3 linked regions of the Drosophila melanogaster genome follow. The protein of the gene in region 3 interacts with the protein of the main gene of each other region in a pairwise test. Each region holds a gene or a part of one and is shown on either strand. Other genes may lie near its edges.

Region 1 (4,852 bases), on a different chromosome or scaffold from region 3:
AATTCGCGTGCAACGATATCTTCAAAAAGTTCACCACCGGTTACACTGCAAATGTATGTAGGCATAGTCAAATTTTGCGATTGAAGCTCTAAATTTAAATTTAGGTTATATTTAAGTTGCGACAGCAGAAAACACATCTCTAATATAACAAAAATATATTGCGGCTAAAACTTGATTCATATTATATTATATATATTATATTGCGGCTTTAAAATTTGATTCATATTCATATTATAGTATGAACGAACGGAGGGAAAAGGATGAAGTATGAATCTCAATAAACAATAGTCGAGTCATTGCCACATTTACAAGCATTTGTTAGAAACTCATATTTTTAAAACACTTTTGGGGATAGGCAATTTAAATATTTGGTAAGGAGTCTATGCAGGTTAATGCTTACAGGTCAAAAACAAGGTAGTGATAGTTCTCCTCCTGTATACTGTCATGTAGCCGCACTGAAATTGTACATATTAACAATTTATTAGTTGTATACATTTGTATTTAATGTTTTTTTTTTACGGATGACAATGATTATAAGCCTTAAAGGCTATAAAAATATATGTTTATAAAATACATTTTGAACATATTATATATTTTGTCGGTGACGCTGGAGGAAGTGATGTTTCTAGATTTGAACTGTCCGTGTAAATAACTGTTTTGTTAGGTTACGCTTTTAGTGAGAGGAAAGTCTATTGCATGAGTTCGGTTTTTGCTGTTCTGCAAGTTTTTATAATTATTATAATTATAAATTACTTGGAAGATTTGTTATTGGAGAGTAGGGAGGGCGAGGAATGGAATGTTGCTTGCAGATGCGGATTGATATATCTACTAAACTCTATTTTATTTTTTTCTTCGTTGTGTTACCGTGGACGTCAAACCATCCTTTATCAGGATCACATTGCAAGTCATCAACACTACTGGGGTCTAAGCCGTGATTGAATGTACATATAAAAATTATGTATAGTAGATGTTCAAAGTGATATTAGGCCATGTTCGTCTACTTTTATGTAGATCATACATCTTCAGAAAAACGTATCTTTAAAGAATAAGTAAGTAAATTATATTTATATACACGTTGCATACCTATGTTGGGATGGTGTAACTTTCTGCAGATCCTTGCTTCACGTTCCAGTTTTTGAAAGTCTAAAAGCAAAAAAAAAAAATATATATATATATATATTATAAGCATCTCTTATATGCATACATGCATGTGTACAAATATGTTAATAAGAGGTTTTTGGCGAGCAAGCAAATGGTTCTCTCTAAGCCCAAAATTTGTCCCAGCTGTCATGCTCAAACTTCTTAAAAGTTATTTAATATATTTTTTGTAAATTACACACTTTGCCAATACTGCTATTCCAAAATTATTTTGGCCACGTCTTGGCAGTAAAAATTTATTAATTACTAAATAGCACAACACCAAGAAATACAACTTAATTACTGTAGAACTATTTGATACTTGTGTGGCAAATAGATAGGGACGACGAAGATATTACACAAAAAGAATGGTCCCTTCCAAAAGCGTACTTAGCAAAAAGAAAGTACATTTTACAGGAAAACTTTTTGACAGTCAATGTTTACTACTGATTTCTTACGATATGCCATATCGCCGTTGAAAAAACGGCATCAGATACCAGTTACTCAGCTAGTGTGAATGGGAACGCGAAATTTCATCATTTTTCTAGGATAACGATAGATATTGGGGAATAAAATAAGAAAAAAGTTTAAAAATTGGTCCAAAGTGTGGACGTGACCGGTTGGCGGCTTTTAAGCAAATCGATAGAAGTTAAAGGGCGTTAGAATGGGCGTGGCAAACTTTTTTTTGAGCAAATCGATAGAAATTTACAAGACCAATACAAATGTGAAAAAATATCAACACATTTTTCAAAAGTGAGGGCGTGGCGCATGTGGCAACATGGGTCAACAAACTTGCGCTGCGTATTTGTTTCTAAAATCTGTATGCCTTCTAGCTTGTATAGTTTCTGAGATCTCGACGACCATACGGAGAGACGGACTCGGCTATTGATCCTGATCAAGAATATACATACTTTCCAAGGATCAAGGATCTAGTATACCCTTTTACTGTACTCGACGAATTACCTAAAAACAGCACTTAGTTTCCCTACATGCGTGTGCATAGCATAAATGCGTACATATGTGATTTATAACCTACATAGAACACAGAAAGCCTTACCTCTGGCAGTTAATTTTTTTGTATTGATAATTTTTGCAGCAAATTCAAAGCCAGTTGACTTTTGGACACATCTTTTCACAATTGAGAATGCTCCTCTGAAATGTTAATAGACGGGTTATTATAATAAATTTATTAACCTTGAGTTTGTTAAACTTACTTTCCCAACTCTTCTTTGATGTCGTAATTGTCCGAAAAACGCGTACAGGCTGCTGGTGCAGCCATCGCGATGGCACACTTAAGAAAATCTATTGCGACTAAAGATCTTCAACTGCTCTACAGATTTCACTTTTCAGGAGTTTTATTTCTTGTTTTCTAAACGATTTTTAAATATAAGATAATAAATCAGTTTTACAAAAATTATACAAAAAATTGCTTACAACGTACAAACATACATACATTGTTGTACCATTTAGGTACCATGGGCCTTCTCTAAATATTATTTTGTTATAAAGTAATCACTAGCTGGTTCAAAAGTTTCAGACAGCGTTGGTTCTATGGTATCCAAAGGGGTACTGCATGTATTTGAGAATCCCCCGGCCATCATAGTATAAACTTGCATTCTTCTCTGTATAAGATCGGGCATGAAGCTCGTAAAGTAAAGCTCGCCAATGTAATTCAGAAGTATTCAGAGCACAGATTAGGTAACTTATTTCATAGAAACACATATCGGTAAAATTAAAAGAATGTCTCGCTATTCCAATTTTAAAATTCTATATTACTCAGTGGAGTCGATGCAAAACAGACCAGCAATCTACATATAGTTCTTCAAATTTTAAATGGTTTGTAATAATATAAGGGTTATGTTATTTTAAACAGCCGCAGGTTTCTTATTGAGTTGGTAATTCAAGTGAGTTCTCTTAAAGCACGTTGCTTAAACTAGAAAACTCGACCTCCATTTTGAAGATTTTGGTGGTTGAAGTTTTTTCATGTGATCATGAAATCATACGAAAAAACACCATACTTCGCAAGAAACAACATGTGCGGGGGCACAAATTGAAAAATGTCTGAAAATGTATTATCCTATCTCAAACGTTGAATCTGATACCTTGTTGTTGCCTAGAGATGACATGACATTCGATAGACGAAAAATGTAATAAACTCGATTATTAAACATAGGGGTCAACTCCTTACCAAAGCTACACTTAACTGTTCCCCATGCACATCAAAATAGCAAAGGTATCTACATATGTAAAACCATAACTCCGCGGTTAGTGCAGTGTAAACGGGCCTTACATCGATATGCATATCAACCACTCAGTGGCGTTTTCAATATCAAATTAAACTATGGCCCTGAAAAAATACGAATCCATTGCAGAATTAAAACAAGAGAAAACGCTATAGTAAAGCTTTTCGACTATCAGATAATTGTTACTCAGCTAGTGGAAGTATGAACGAGAATATTAAACATTTTTCTGGCGTACCGATTAAAATTGGCAAAACAATTTCAACAATTTTTTGAAAAAAAATAAACGAAAACTTAAAAAGGGCATGGCACAATCTTAACTTTCTAGCTTTTATAGTTCCTGAGATCGTGGAGTTCATACAGATAGACGGACATGAAAATTCGACTCGGCTATTGATCCTGGTGAAGACTATATATAGTTTAAACGCTCGGAAACGCGTCGTTCTGCAAGTTACATACTTTTCAACGAAGCTAGTGTGATAGCCAGCTGATCAAGAGCAGCAACAATCATTACTATTAACCTATATTACGTATTGAGTAAAGGAATAAAAAATGGAAATTATTTTTTCGTTTTACTTTCCAGTTATTATAGTTTCAGCGGTAACAGCGTTGATACGGACGACAGGCATGGGATAAAGCATGCAAATTTGTTTTCTTGAGAACCAGACATTTAATCCGCCTAAAACTGTAACTCCAATTTTTTTGAAAAATAATTTGCTTCTTTCAGTCTTGAAATCTTTTATTTCGATTTTGCCCACACATTTACAAAGTGTTTTGTTTTTTTGTTTCATTATTTTTATTTATTCTTTTATTTTGCACATTTCTGTCGGGTTGTTAAATAGTCGATGAACTACTGTCACGTTCTCTCTTGTTTTATACCTCTCCGTGAGGTTTGTTTTTTGCCATATCCGGTAACAGCGGTACTGTTAGTTTTTAGTTTGTTGTACGTGTTTTTTTAAAACTAGACCCAATCACCATGAAAAAGAAGTGTTTCCCTGGAAAAGGTATATGTAGACCCTTAATTGCACCCTCGCAATTTTGAAATAACATACTTATAATATAATATTGTCAAGTCAAATGTTACGAAAAGTTTAAAATTTGTGATCAAAACTTTATTATCTTTGTTTTAAACCAGATATATTTAACTCTCATTGACATATTTCAATCAATTAAAAAAAGCGACAGGTGTTTTTGGTTAATTTCTTAAAAAAGAAAATCCTGATTATGAGAATGTATCTGGGAAGCAGTTATATATATACGTACATATATATGTAGGTATGTATCCTTTGCAGGTTACATGCGTTGAAGCTTTTTTTGATGAGCTTAATGGTAAAACGCCCCACCCCTTTTAGCAAGGATATTTCAGGGTCTTGGAAATTACTTGTTGCAAATTATACTTTTTCATTAAATCATATAAACACGCGCTATGTACGCGAATTAAATATACTATTTGGATGAGACCTTCAGAAATGTTT
Region 2 (4,595 bases), on a different chromosome or scaffold from region 3:
TTCTGGACTACCATATCCACACTGCACCAGCCATTAACCATTAACCACTACCCACTGCCACCATTAGCATTATCCATACCTGTCTGCAGAAGAGCGAGGAAAACCAGTGATGACGCTGCTGGCGACATGTTCGTCATGCCGATTGGCATTTCCCGTCCACTCGGCGGCGCTGGCTATGGAAAATCACTTGGGAGCACCCCTGCGGCGAGTCCCCTCCCTTACCATTAAATCGCAATCCAAACCGAGCGACAAACAAAATTATAACGAACAAAAAACAAACACAAAGGGGTATCTTGCTTTTTGCCAACGGATACACCCACTTTCATGGACTATTCTCTACGTTGAACACGGTTAATTGCTTTCGTTTGGGTTACGGAGCACTGGACTCCGTGATTGCGTCGAATTCGCTGCGGTGATTCTATTATTGCGTTTTTAATTTGTTCTATAATTTTTGCAGCCTGCAGTGAATGAGTGGGTAACAGTGTGACCAGGTGGCAAGCACAAGACAAGTAAAATAAGGCCGTACTACACTTACGTCCTACGAAAAGCCCGCCAATCTTGAAATTCAAATTACCATGTTTTTGTATTTAAAAAGCGGAGCTTAAAAGAAATTCAAGGAAAATATAAACTTAATATGTATTGATACATATCAATCAGTGACTTCTAAGGAAACCAGGATAATCTTAGATAAAATGTTATTTTGTTGTCTTTATCCAGCGGTGCCTTCAATACACACTTAAAAACACATTATATCGACAAAAGTTTACAATTTTTTGAATACAAGTTTCCGGCAAACAGCTCTTTTCTACTTTGTTAAAATACTAAGTTCGATTTATTCGTTAGTTGTAAATACATAATCATTATATGCCTGCGTACATATGCGTGTAGTTGTGTATATGTTAATATTTGAAGTAAACTTAATAGTACAAATGAAAGACAACGAGATGAGAAAGCAATAATTACTTTGGGATAAGCGAACCGCACAGAATTCTCAATACATTGTGAGGCGGCGGCGCCGGATTCTACTTCTTCTTGCTCTTGCCGAGGGTGAGCGTGTGGTGGGCGGTGGCCAACTGCTGCTTGCGCCGCTGGAAGTCAAGGTAGTCCTCCTCGAGCGCCTTGCGCGACTCTTCCAGCTTGCGCTTCTCCTCGGCGTGATCCCGCTTTAGCTTCTCGAACTTGGCGTGCAGGTCCTTCTCGCTCTCCTTCAGCTCGGCCTCCTTCTCCTTAACGCGCTGCACGAACATCTGACGAACCTCCTCCTCCTTGGACTGCAGCTCGGCCAAATGGTTGGAGCGCTTTGCCTCGAACGTCTGCTGGAACGAGATGGGCTTGTTGTCGCTGTCCACATCGCTGAAGCCCATTTGCTCCAGCCTCTTCTGGCGATACAGCTCGTAGTGGCGCGTGTGTGTCTTTTCGCGCATATCCTCCATGTTGGTGCGAATGAGCATCTCGCGCAGCTTCACAAAGTCGCAGTGCGTCTCGTTCTCCACCTGCACCGTGCCCCAGGGGTACTGGCGAGCGCGGATGAGCTTGTTGCCCACCTTAATAAACTCCGTGCTGCCCACCACGGCGAAGGGAATGTGCGAGTTCATGCTGGTGTTGGTCTCGGCCACCGTCTCATCGTCGGTGGGGAACTGGTAGATGTGCACTCCATTGGCGTTTAGCTCCTGAATGATCTTCGCCTTGAAGCGCTGTAGCTCAACCTTGGAAATGGTATCCGCCTTGGCAATCACCGGAATTATGTTCACCTTGCTGTCCAGCTTCTTCATGCACACCAGGTCCAGCGATTTGAGGCCGTGCCCAGTGGGGCAAATAAAGTAGAGGCAGATGTGGATGCGGCTGTCGTGGCATGTCACCAGCGATCGCTTGATCTTCAGCTCCTCCTGCAGATAGTTCTCGAACTGTGCGTCGATGTAGTCCACCACCGCCTTGAACGAGTCGTCCTTGTTGATCTGATCGCCGTAGCCAACCGTGTCGCAGATGGTGAGCTTGAGTCGCACATTGCTCTCCTGCAGCTCGTAGGTGTGTGCCTTCAACTTGACGCTCGGCAAAGTGTGGGGACTCGGCGTGGACTCGAAGCTGGTGTTGAACAGCGTGTCCATCAGCGTCGACTTGCCCAGTCCGGTTTCGCCTGCGGAGCGTAAAGATTTCGAAATGCGGGTCAGATTTGTGCCAGATTTGGGGAACCTTAGCCTAAGTGAGCTCAATTGGCCATAGAAGCACTGCGGCATTGGTGTCAGGGTGAAATTGTAGAAAGTGGCGGAGGCAATCGATTGCCGGCCACTTTGCATACTAATCGTATCTGGGCGTCTGGTTATTTCAATTGTTTACCCGCTTTTATGTACCTAAGTGATTCACTTTATCTGAGCAATGCACTCCAACATGAGACACTTGAGTACATAGCACAGCGGTGTTCAAAACAATAGCATCTTTATTTCAAGATGTGCTGTGCAATAGTCTTTGCTTTCAATAAATAATTGTATTTCTAATATGATTTTACTGATTTTACTCGTATTAAAGTTTAACAAATAAAAAGCACACACCTCGGTTTTTATTTCATTCTCTCTGCATCGAGCTACCACTGTATGTCCAATTTCTAATTGGTGTGCAAACAAAGCCATCTTTGAGTTAAGAAGCAACAAAAGTTTGAAACCTTCTCCAAGTGACTCCTTTATGGAATATAAAAAATCAGTGCTATTGCTTTGGTCACCACTGTTTTGTATGCAAGCAAAACTTCGGTTGATTCACTGTGCCGCATACACACGCACACACGCAAAGTTCACCCGCATATACACACCTATACACATGACGTTGAAGACGAATCCATTCTGGACACTCTTGTTGACCAGTTGGTCAGGCAAGCTGTCGAATCCCACGTGACCGGACTGCTTCAGGGTGCGGAGGTGCACCTCCTTCTTGTCGACGAAATCCACCTCAACGGACATTTTCCAATAGTCAAGTCAAATAATCCAATAATCCGGGCGCAGAGTTTGGATCAAAGGCGTCGCCAGCGAATATGCAAGTGTGGCCAGATACGCGGAGCCCAAAATACCAGCGGCTCAAAGAAGTGTGTGGATATAGATGAACAAGAAAATTATAACTTAACAAAGAATTAAAAAACAATTATTTAATGAATTACATGTGCCATAATGGCAAATAGTGAAACGAAATTGATAATCAAACAGTGAAATGCACTTCATGGATTAAGATTTTAGTACACATCATTTAGCGTTTCAGTTTTTAATAACTAATAATAAAATGTCCCATTCATAGATATTTATGCATAAGTTATTAATTAAATGTAAATAGTTTAAAAAATTAAATGTCTTAACTGTTTCCGCCATCTGGCATCTCTGGTTGCACACAGAAGCGATCTGGCAGGTCCGCATTGCTGATGTGTCTACAGCTGTAAAAACTTGCATGTTAAACGGAAAGTCGAAAGTTTAAGTCAGTGAATAAAATATATATTACCACCCACTAACGTGCTGAGCAAACAGGATGTCAAAGGACGCTAATCCCAAGGAGGCGCTCATAAAGGCGGCTTACGCTGATGTGAATAAGTTCGGCAATAACCAGGAGTTTGACAAGGCTGTCAAGGCAGTGAATCGCAGTAAGTTTTTCAGATTACCGAGGTTATAATCCAGAAGATGACTCCCTATGATCTCTCATAGTCCTAGGCGTAGCGCCCGACGATCCCACCGCCCTGCACTGCAAGGTAGTCTGCCTGGTGCAGCTTTCCAAGTTCGAGGAGGCCTACAAGTTTATTGAGAAAAATCGACTGTCCTCGCTTTTCTTTGAGAAGGCCTACTGCGAGTACCAACTTAACAAGCAGCAGCAAGCGCTTAAGACCATAGACGATGCGGGTCTGCAGCCCCTGCCTCCGAACCTTAAGGAGCTCCGAACCCAGGTCCTGTACCGCTTGGAGCGCTACGATGAGTGCCTAGACTCCTATCGCGACATCATTAAGAACACCAGTGACGAGTACGAGGAAGAGCGTCGGACCAATCTCAGCGCCGTGGCCGCCAACTTGGCTGTGGATCAGACCAAGGAGGTGCCCGAGGTGCCGGAAGACACCTACGAGCAGTACTTCAACAGCGCGTGCATCCAGGCTAATCGGCAGAAGTATGCTGAAGCCGAGCGCAAGTTGCGCACCAGCGAGAAGCTCTGTCTTGAGGATGAGTGTGCCTCCGAGGAGGAGATCATTGAAGAGGTAGACGTCATTCGCGTCCAACTGGCCTATGTCCTCCAACTGCAGGGCAAGACCAAGGAGGCGTCCAGCATCTACGCGGACTGCCTGCGTCATAAGCCAAAGGACGCAGCCCTGGTGGCCGTGGCAAGCAACAACTTGGTGGTGGTCAATAAGGACCAGAACGTCTTCGATTCCAAGAAGAAGATACGCGCTGCCCTAGCCGACGCCTGTGAGTCTAGGCTCACCTCGCGCCAGAAGCAGGTCATAGCCCTCAACAACTGTCTGCTAGCACTTTACACTAATGCCGGCGACCAAGTGCAACAGCTTAGCCAAAAGCTAGCTCAGACCTACCCGCAGGTGGAATTCGAGGCGCTGCTCATTCGCTGCACCCAGCTGGCCAAAG
Region 3 (5,025 bases):
TTTATGAACATATTTAAAGAAATGCTTTTATTAATGCCTAATTAGGTCTAATAGCCGCGCTCCTTGGATTGGGTGGCGTGCGTCAGGATCCACGACTTGTAGTCGCGCTTCTTCATCGACATCTGCTTGTGGCGTGGATGCGTGGGGCAGATGACATAACCGCGCTCCTGGCGCACCACGATGTAGCAGTCCTTGCAGCGTCGCTTCAGGCGTCCCTTGACCTTGAATCCCGCCACCTGCTGGACCAAAGTGGAGCCAGGCGTCAGCAGACCCGACGTCTGACAGATTCCAGTTGTGGCGGCCACAAGTTGCGAGCTTTGAATTGATACAATTGCAGGAGCCGCCGGCCGGGTGAGAAGGTGGAAACCACGCGCGGCACTGAGACCATTCCACAAGCGGGAACCTTGTTGCAGTATTCTACTAGCCAGGGACATCTGAAATTTGCATTTTCATTGAGATTTACAATGAAAATTTGTAGAACAGCTCACCTTTTTCTGTTTTGGATTGAACTGGTCAGAAACCGATAACAGGCACAATGACTTCCAGTGCTTCGCAGCACTGGTTGGCGTTAAAAAGTTATCGAATTAAAAATTTGACTAATTTTAAATGTTATTTTATATTTCTTTTATTTAATAAAATTACATTTCTCGCACTGGATTATTTGAATTTAATCGAGTAGAGCAAAACCAAACCCGTTCAAAGCACAAAAATTTAAAAATTTTATCATCCACAAAAATGTGTTTTTATTTTAAATCAGAATGAAATTACAGGGAATCAAGAGCATAATTTAGTGCGCAGTTGAGAACTTATTCGAATAAAAACTTCTTTTTTTTATTAATCGATACTGATGACTGCCACGGGGTTCGAATCGTCCAGGCGGGAACGTTTGCACTTGGTTGGTCCCGCGGGTTCGTCGTCAGACGACTCCAAAATCTCGGTGATATCCTCATCCTCGATTACTTCACATGGCTTGCGCTTGGAGCCCGATTTTGGGGGACTCTGCACAGAGAGCTTGTCTGTGGCCACGACAACAACATCTGCTTGGTCTTCGTCTTCCTCGATTACCAGACAGTCATCGTCATCTTCCTCAACCACTTCGTTGGGCCGGCTGCGCTTCGAAGTGGAGGGTCCATCGTCCTTTGAGTCTCCTTCCCCGTTGGTAGAACGCTTCTTAGCCGATTTCGGTTCATCCTCCTTGTCTTTCACGGCCTCCTTCTGATCCTCATCCTTTGGCTTCAGCTGTGAGGCATCTGCTACGACTTCGAACAAGTTTTCATCGCGCTCCGCATCGAAGTGGGAAATGATAATACTCAACTCGTAGTTCTGGAAGAAGTCGTCGCACTTGAGGATCACACCATCCACAATGTTTAATTCGCTTAGGAGCTTGCCGTCATTGCATTCGGTCTCGCCCTCCTCTGAGGAGATTAAAATGGAGCCATTGCTCTGCACAGTCACATCCGGATTCAACATGTTGAGCGTCTTAACCAGGACCTCGTCACGCAGCTCCTTTATACGCATGCGCTTCGTATCGATCTTGAGAGTAATGGCCGGATCGCTGGCGCATACATGGCAATTGGGATTGGGGCCAGGAAGAGAAGCGTCCGGTACAAGGAAGTGATTTCGTGCATTTGGTCTAAGTCGGGCATAGACGGCCTTGCACTGCTCCCACTTGGCCTCCAGCACTTTGAAAGCCCGCATCACGGAAATTCCCGCCGTAATCGCATTTGTGGTGGCAATAGCAGGAATAATGTTTCCCGCCATTGACTTAATCTCGAACCTTGACTTTCGCTCAATGTCGAAAATGTGGGATCGCACGTTGGCGCAGGCCGCCACGAAATCCATGGCTGGCTGGTCGTCCTTGTCCCAAGCCAGAGTATCGTCGCCTTCGAGTTTCAGGAAGTTAGCGCTCAACTCTTTTAATGAATTGGCAAAGACCTGAGCGCACTCCTCGATGGACCACACCTTGTGATGCTGCTTGGCCACATCCTTCTGATCACCGGAGGATCCTTCGGGCAGCAGGGTATCCCACTGCACGGGCACGGGTGCCTTGCGGGTCTTCCACAAATTCGACATACGCAACAAATAGGTAATGTCCTCGTTAAAGAACTTGTTGAACAGCTTGCCCGCATCATAGTTGCAGTCCTTGGCCCATTGGCGAGTATTAATGCGCATTATGTTGCCGTTGGCAGTATCCTCCTTGGCCTCCTTTTCCTCTTTTGACTCTTCGCCTTTTTCCTTCCCATCGCCTTTGGGCTCGCCATTTCCATCGCCGCCGTCTTTTTCTTTTGCATCGGGATCAGCAGCATCAGGAGAAATATCCTCATCTTCCAAGGACTCACCAAACAGTTGACTGCAAATAAATCAATAGATTTGCTGCAATTTAGACTAATTATTAGGTATACTCACTTAAAGAGATGCTTGGCCCAGACAATGCAGTGAATCGGTTCGGAGGGCGTATTGCGTATGGTGCAGCCCGGGAAGCTTCGCTGTTTGTCTTTTGGAGTGCACTCGTAGCACTGGGTGAGTCCACGCTTGATCAGTTCCACCTGGCCATTGTAGCCGGCGGTGCCGCTCTCGATCAGCGGGACATCCGCATTGAGGCACATGCGATTTACATGATTCCTGGCGGCCCTGTTGTCCAAGGCGCTGAGCACCAAATCGAACTTCTTAAAGAAGTTGACGCCATAATCAGTACTAAAAGGTATGTGTTGTTAGCAAGATGTAAAGGCAAAGCTATCCCAACTTACGATGTTACACTGTCGTGGTAAGCGGTTATCTTAGCGTCCGGATTGAAGCTCAGTGCGCTTTCCCTAGCCACCCGTGCCTTAGATTTTCCAACGTGCTCGCGATGGAATAGGAACTGTCGGTTCAAGTTGCTAAGATCAATTGTGTCCAGATCGATCTGGGTAACGTTTATAAATTAATAATATGGAATACTTTTTTCGAAAAAACTTACAATTTCGATGTCTGTAAAGCCGCTAAGCACAAGGTTTTTGAGCACCTCGCAGCCGATTCCGCCGGCGCCCACGACCAGCACCTTGGACTTCTTTACCAGCTCCTGCAATGTGGGTGGGAAAACACCATTGATAGCTGCTGCCATTTTCTGAATTTACGTTTTCCTTTTTCTTATTTTTGGCGAGAAAATTGCAAAATTGCGATACGGAAAAGCCGAGAAAAGTGACGCCGCCGGTGCAGGTGTTGGGAAACGTATAAAGCTACGGATATTCTCTACCAGGGATGGCTGATATGGGTGACTCTTATTATCACTTAAATTAACTTTTCTAGTATTATTAATATATTTTATTTTACATATTACGACAAAAGTCACCGTTAATTGCACAGAAAAAGAAAGTTCTTTTAAAAGACATCAAACATTTTCTGTCCGAAAAGTCAACTTGTAAAACCTAACAGCAATTGAGCATACTTGCCAACACTTTTGCTCCACCAGCCCACTTTGCGCAAGCTGGGCACACTGCATGCTGGGCTAATCAGAAATAGAGAAAAGCATTTTAATTCGGACGAAGTCGACATACGGATCACGCAGCACGGGTCACGGCAAACGGCAAACGCGGAGAGCGGAACACGGACGAGAACTGCTCAAGCGGAATCAATAGGAATCAATACATTGTGAATAGATCTGGCGAACATCGAATAATGGCCGAAGTGCGACGCAGGAAGGGCGAGGATGAGCCACTGGAGGACACGGCCATCTCCGGATCTGACGCAGCCAATAAGCGCAACTCCGCCGCCGACTCCTCGGACCATGTAAGTAGCAATGACTTGTATGTGGAGCAGCCGAGCGGCAGCTGTTCCGGACACCAATTTGCATAATTCTTGGAGCATAGAAAAGCCAATGTGTGTATACCAACAAATGTGTGTGGCTATGTGTTTTTGTTATTCTCTGACGCACAAGCAGGTGGGAGAAAGAAGAGAGAGCTCTCTCCTGGAGAAAATCCAATAACAAACACAAAACACACCACTAGCCAGCCAGCCTGCCTGCCACCCAACCACCCACCTGCTGTGTTGCAATATAGCGCCATTATGACCAGCAAATCCAATTAGATGGACTACGCCAATTAGGGAAGCACTGGGCCAAGAACCCAGAGCCGAAACCATTACCATGACCAGACTCCCTTTCTGGCTTGGACTTTTTTTGTTATTGCTGGGTGATAATGCCTCCTTATCAACCAAGCTATTTGGCAACAAAACACGCCACCCAAAAAAACCCGCAATTTTTCTCCCCACTTGGTTCCCCTCTCTATTTTATGTGCCTGTGTATTGGATAAACGAGTGATTCTGATTATGGGTATATAGGCACATACATACACGTATCATGGACTTTGCTCGGCGTCGTCCAATAGAAAGTATTTAAACCCTGCACTCCGGTCGTATCGAATCTGATAGGAAACCTACTTTGCAGTCCCAGCCAATGCAATCAATAAGTGAATTTTCCCTTTCCCTTGCTCCTCCTCCTGCCAGGTGGACTCCGAGGAAGAGAAGATTCCCGAGGAGAAGTTCGTCGACGAACTGGCCAAGAATCTGCCGCAGGGAACCGACAAAACGCCCGAGATATTGGACTCGGCCCTCAAGGATCTGCCGGATAGGTATGTGAAACAAATCCATATGCGTAGTTGGGATCTTTAAAGATCATGATGAATAGCTAAAGGTCGATTTGGAATTGATGATTCAAAAAATATTTTATTGAAGTGCGAATTTTATAAATCCGACAGAATGAGTATGAGTGCGTTCCAAAAATAATCCATATCCACAGCTGTCTACAGTTGGCGAGCAAATATTAAAAGTAAATATGTACAATTACAAACAATTATTTTTTGCGCATTCCACAGATGGAAGAACTGGGTGATTCGCGGCATCTTCACATGGATTATGATCTGCGGCTTCGCATTGATCATCTATGGTGGACCGCTGGCCTTGATGATCACGGTAGGTTTAATGGAATTCGCTTAAACGAGTCTTCAAATAATCGTTGTCCTACTTTCTCTTTGCAGACGTTACTGGTGCAGG

What was found.
Region 1: the proteins of Uba2 (region 3) and CaMKII interact in a two-hybrid assay, tested with the Drosophila melanogaster proteins (one study listed by BioGRID).
Region 2: the proteins of Uba2 (region 3) and Septin2 interact in a two-hybrid assay, tested with the Drosophila melanogaster proteins (one study listed by BioGRID).

What each region holds. Positions count from the first base shown.
Region 1 is NC_004353.4:1,048,104-1,052,955, forward strand, and holds the start of CaMKII (Calcium/calmodulin-dependent protein kinase II), read right to left. Parts: upstream 3,276-4,852; 5' UTR 3,240-3,275; exon of another isoform or gene 2,591-3,239; intron 2,507-2,590; 5' UTR 2,417-2,506; coding exon 2,352-2,416; intron 2,290-2,351; coding exon 2,195-2,289; intron 1,144-2,194; coding exon 1,084-1,143; intron 456-1,083; coding exon 401-455; intron 46-400; coding exon 1-45. UniProt on the Drosophila melanogaster protein: A key regulator of plasticity in synaptic physiology and behavior, alterations in its activity produce pleiotrophic effects that involve synaptic transmission and development as well as various aspects of behavior. Directly modulates eag potassium channels.
Region 2 is NT_033777.3:20,585,324-20,589,918, forward strand, and holds Septin2 (septin 2), read right to left. Parts: upstream 3,034-4,595; 5' UTR 2,949-3,033; coding exon 2,801-2,948; exon of another isoform or gene 2,680-2,800; intron 2,673-2,679; exon of another isoform or gene 2,547-2,672; intron 2,135-2,546; coding exon 1,023-2,134; 3' UTR 806-1,022; downstream 1-805. Other genes in the region: CG16953 (uncharacterized protein), read right to left, coding at 80-149; Srp72 (signal recognition particle 72), read left to right, coding at 3,502-3,613, 3,675-4,595. UniProt on the Drosophila melanogaster protein: Involved in cytokinesis.
Region 3 is NT_037436.4:8,124,605-8,129,629, forward strand, and holds Uba2 (Ubiquitin-like activating enzyme 2), read right to left. Parts: upstream 3,215-5,025; 5' UTR 3,101-3,214; coding exon 2,957-3,100; intron 2,903-2,956; coding exon 2,748-2,902; intron 2,695-2,747; coding exon 2,407-2,694; intron 2,351-2,406; coding exon 835-2,350; 3' UTR 723-834; downstream 1-722. Other genes in the region: mRpL36 (mitochondrial ribosomal protein L36), read right to left, coding at 48-434; Cds (CDP-diacylglycerol synthase), read left to right, coding at 3,655-3,765, 4,480-4,604, 4,848-4,944, 5,010-5,025.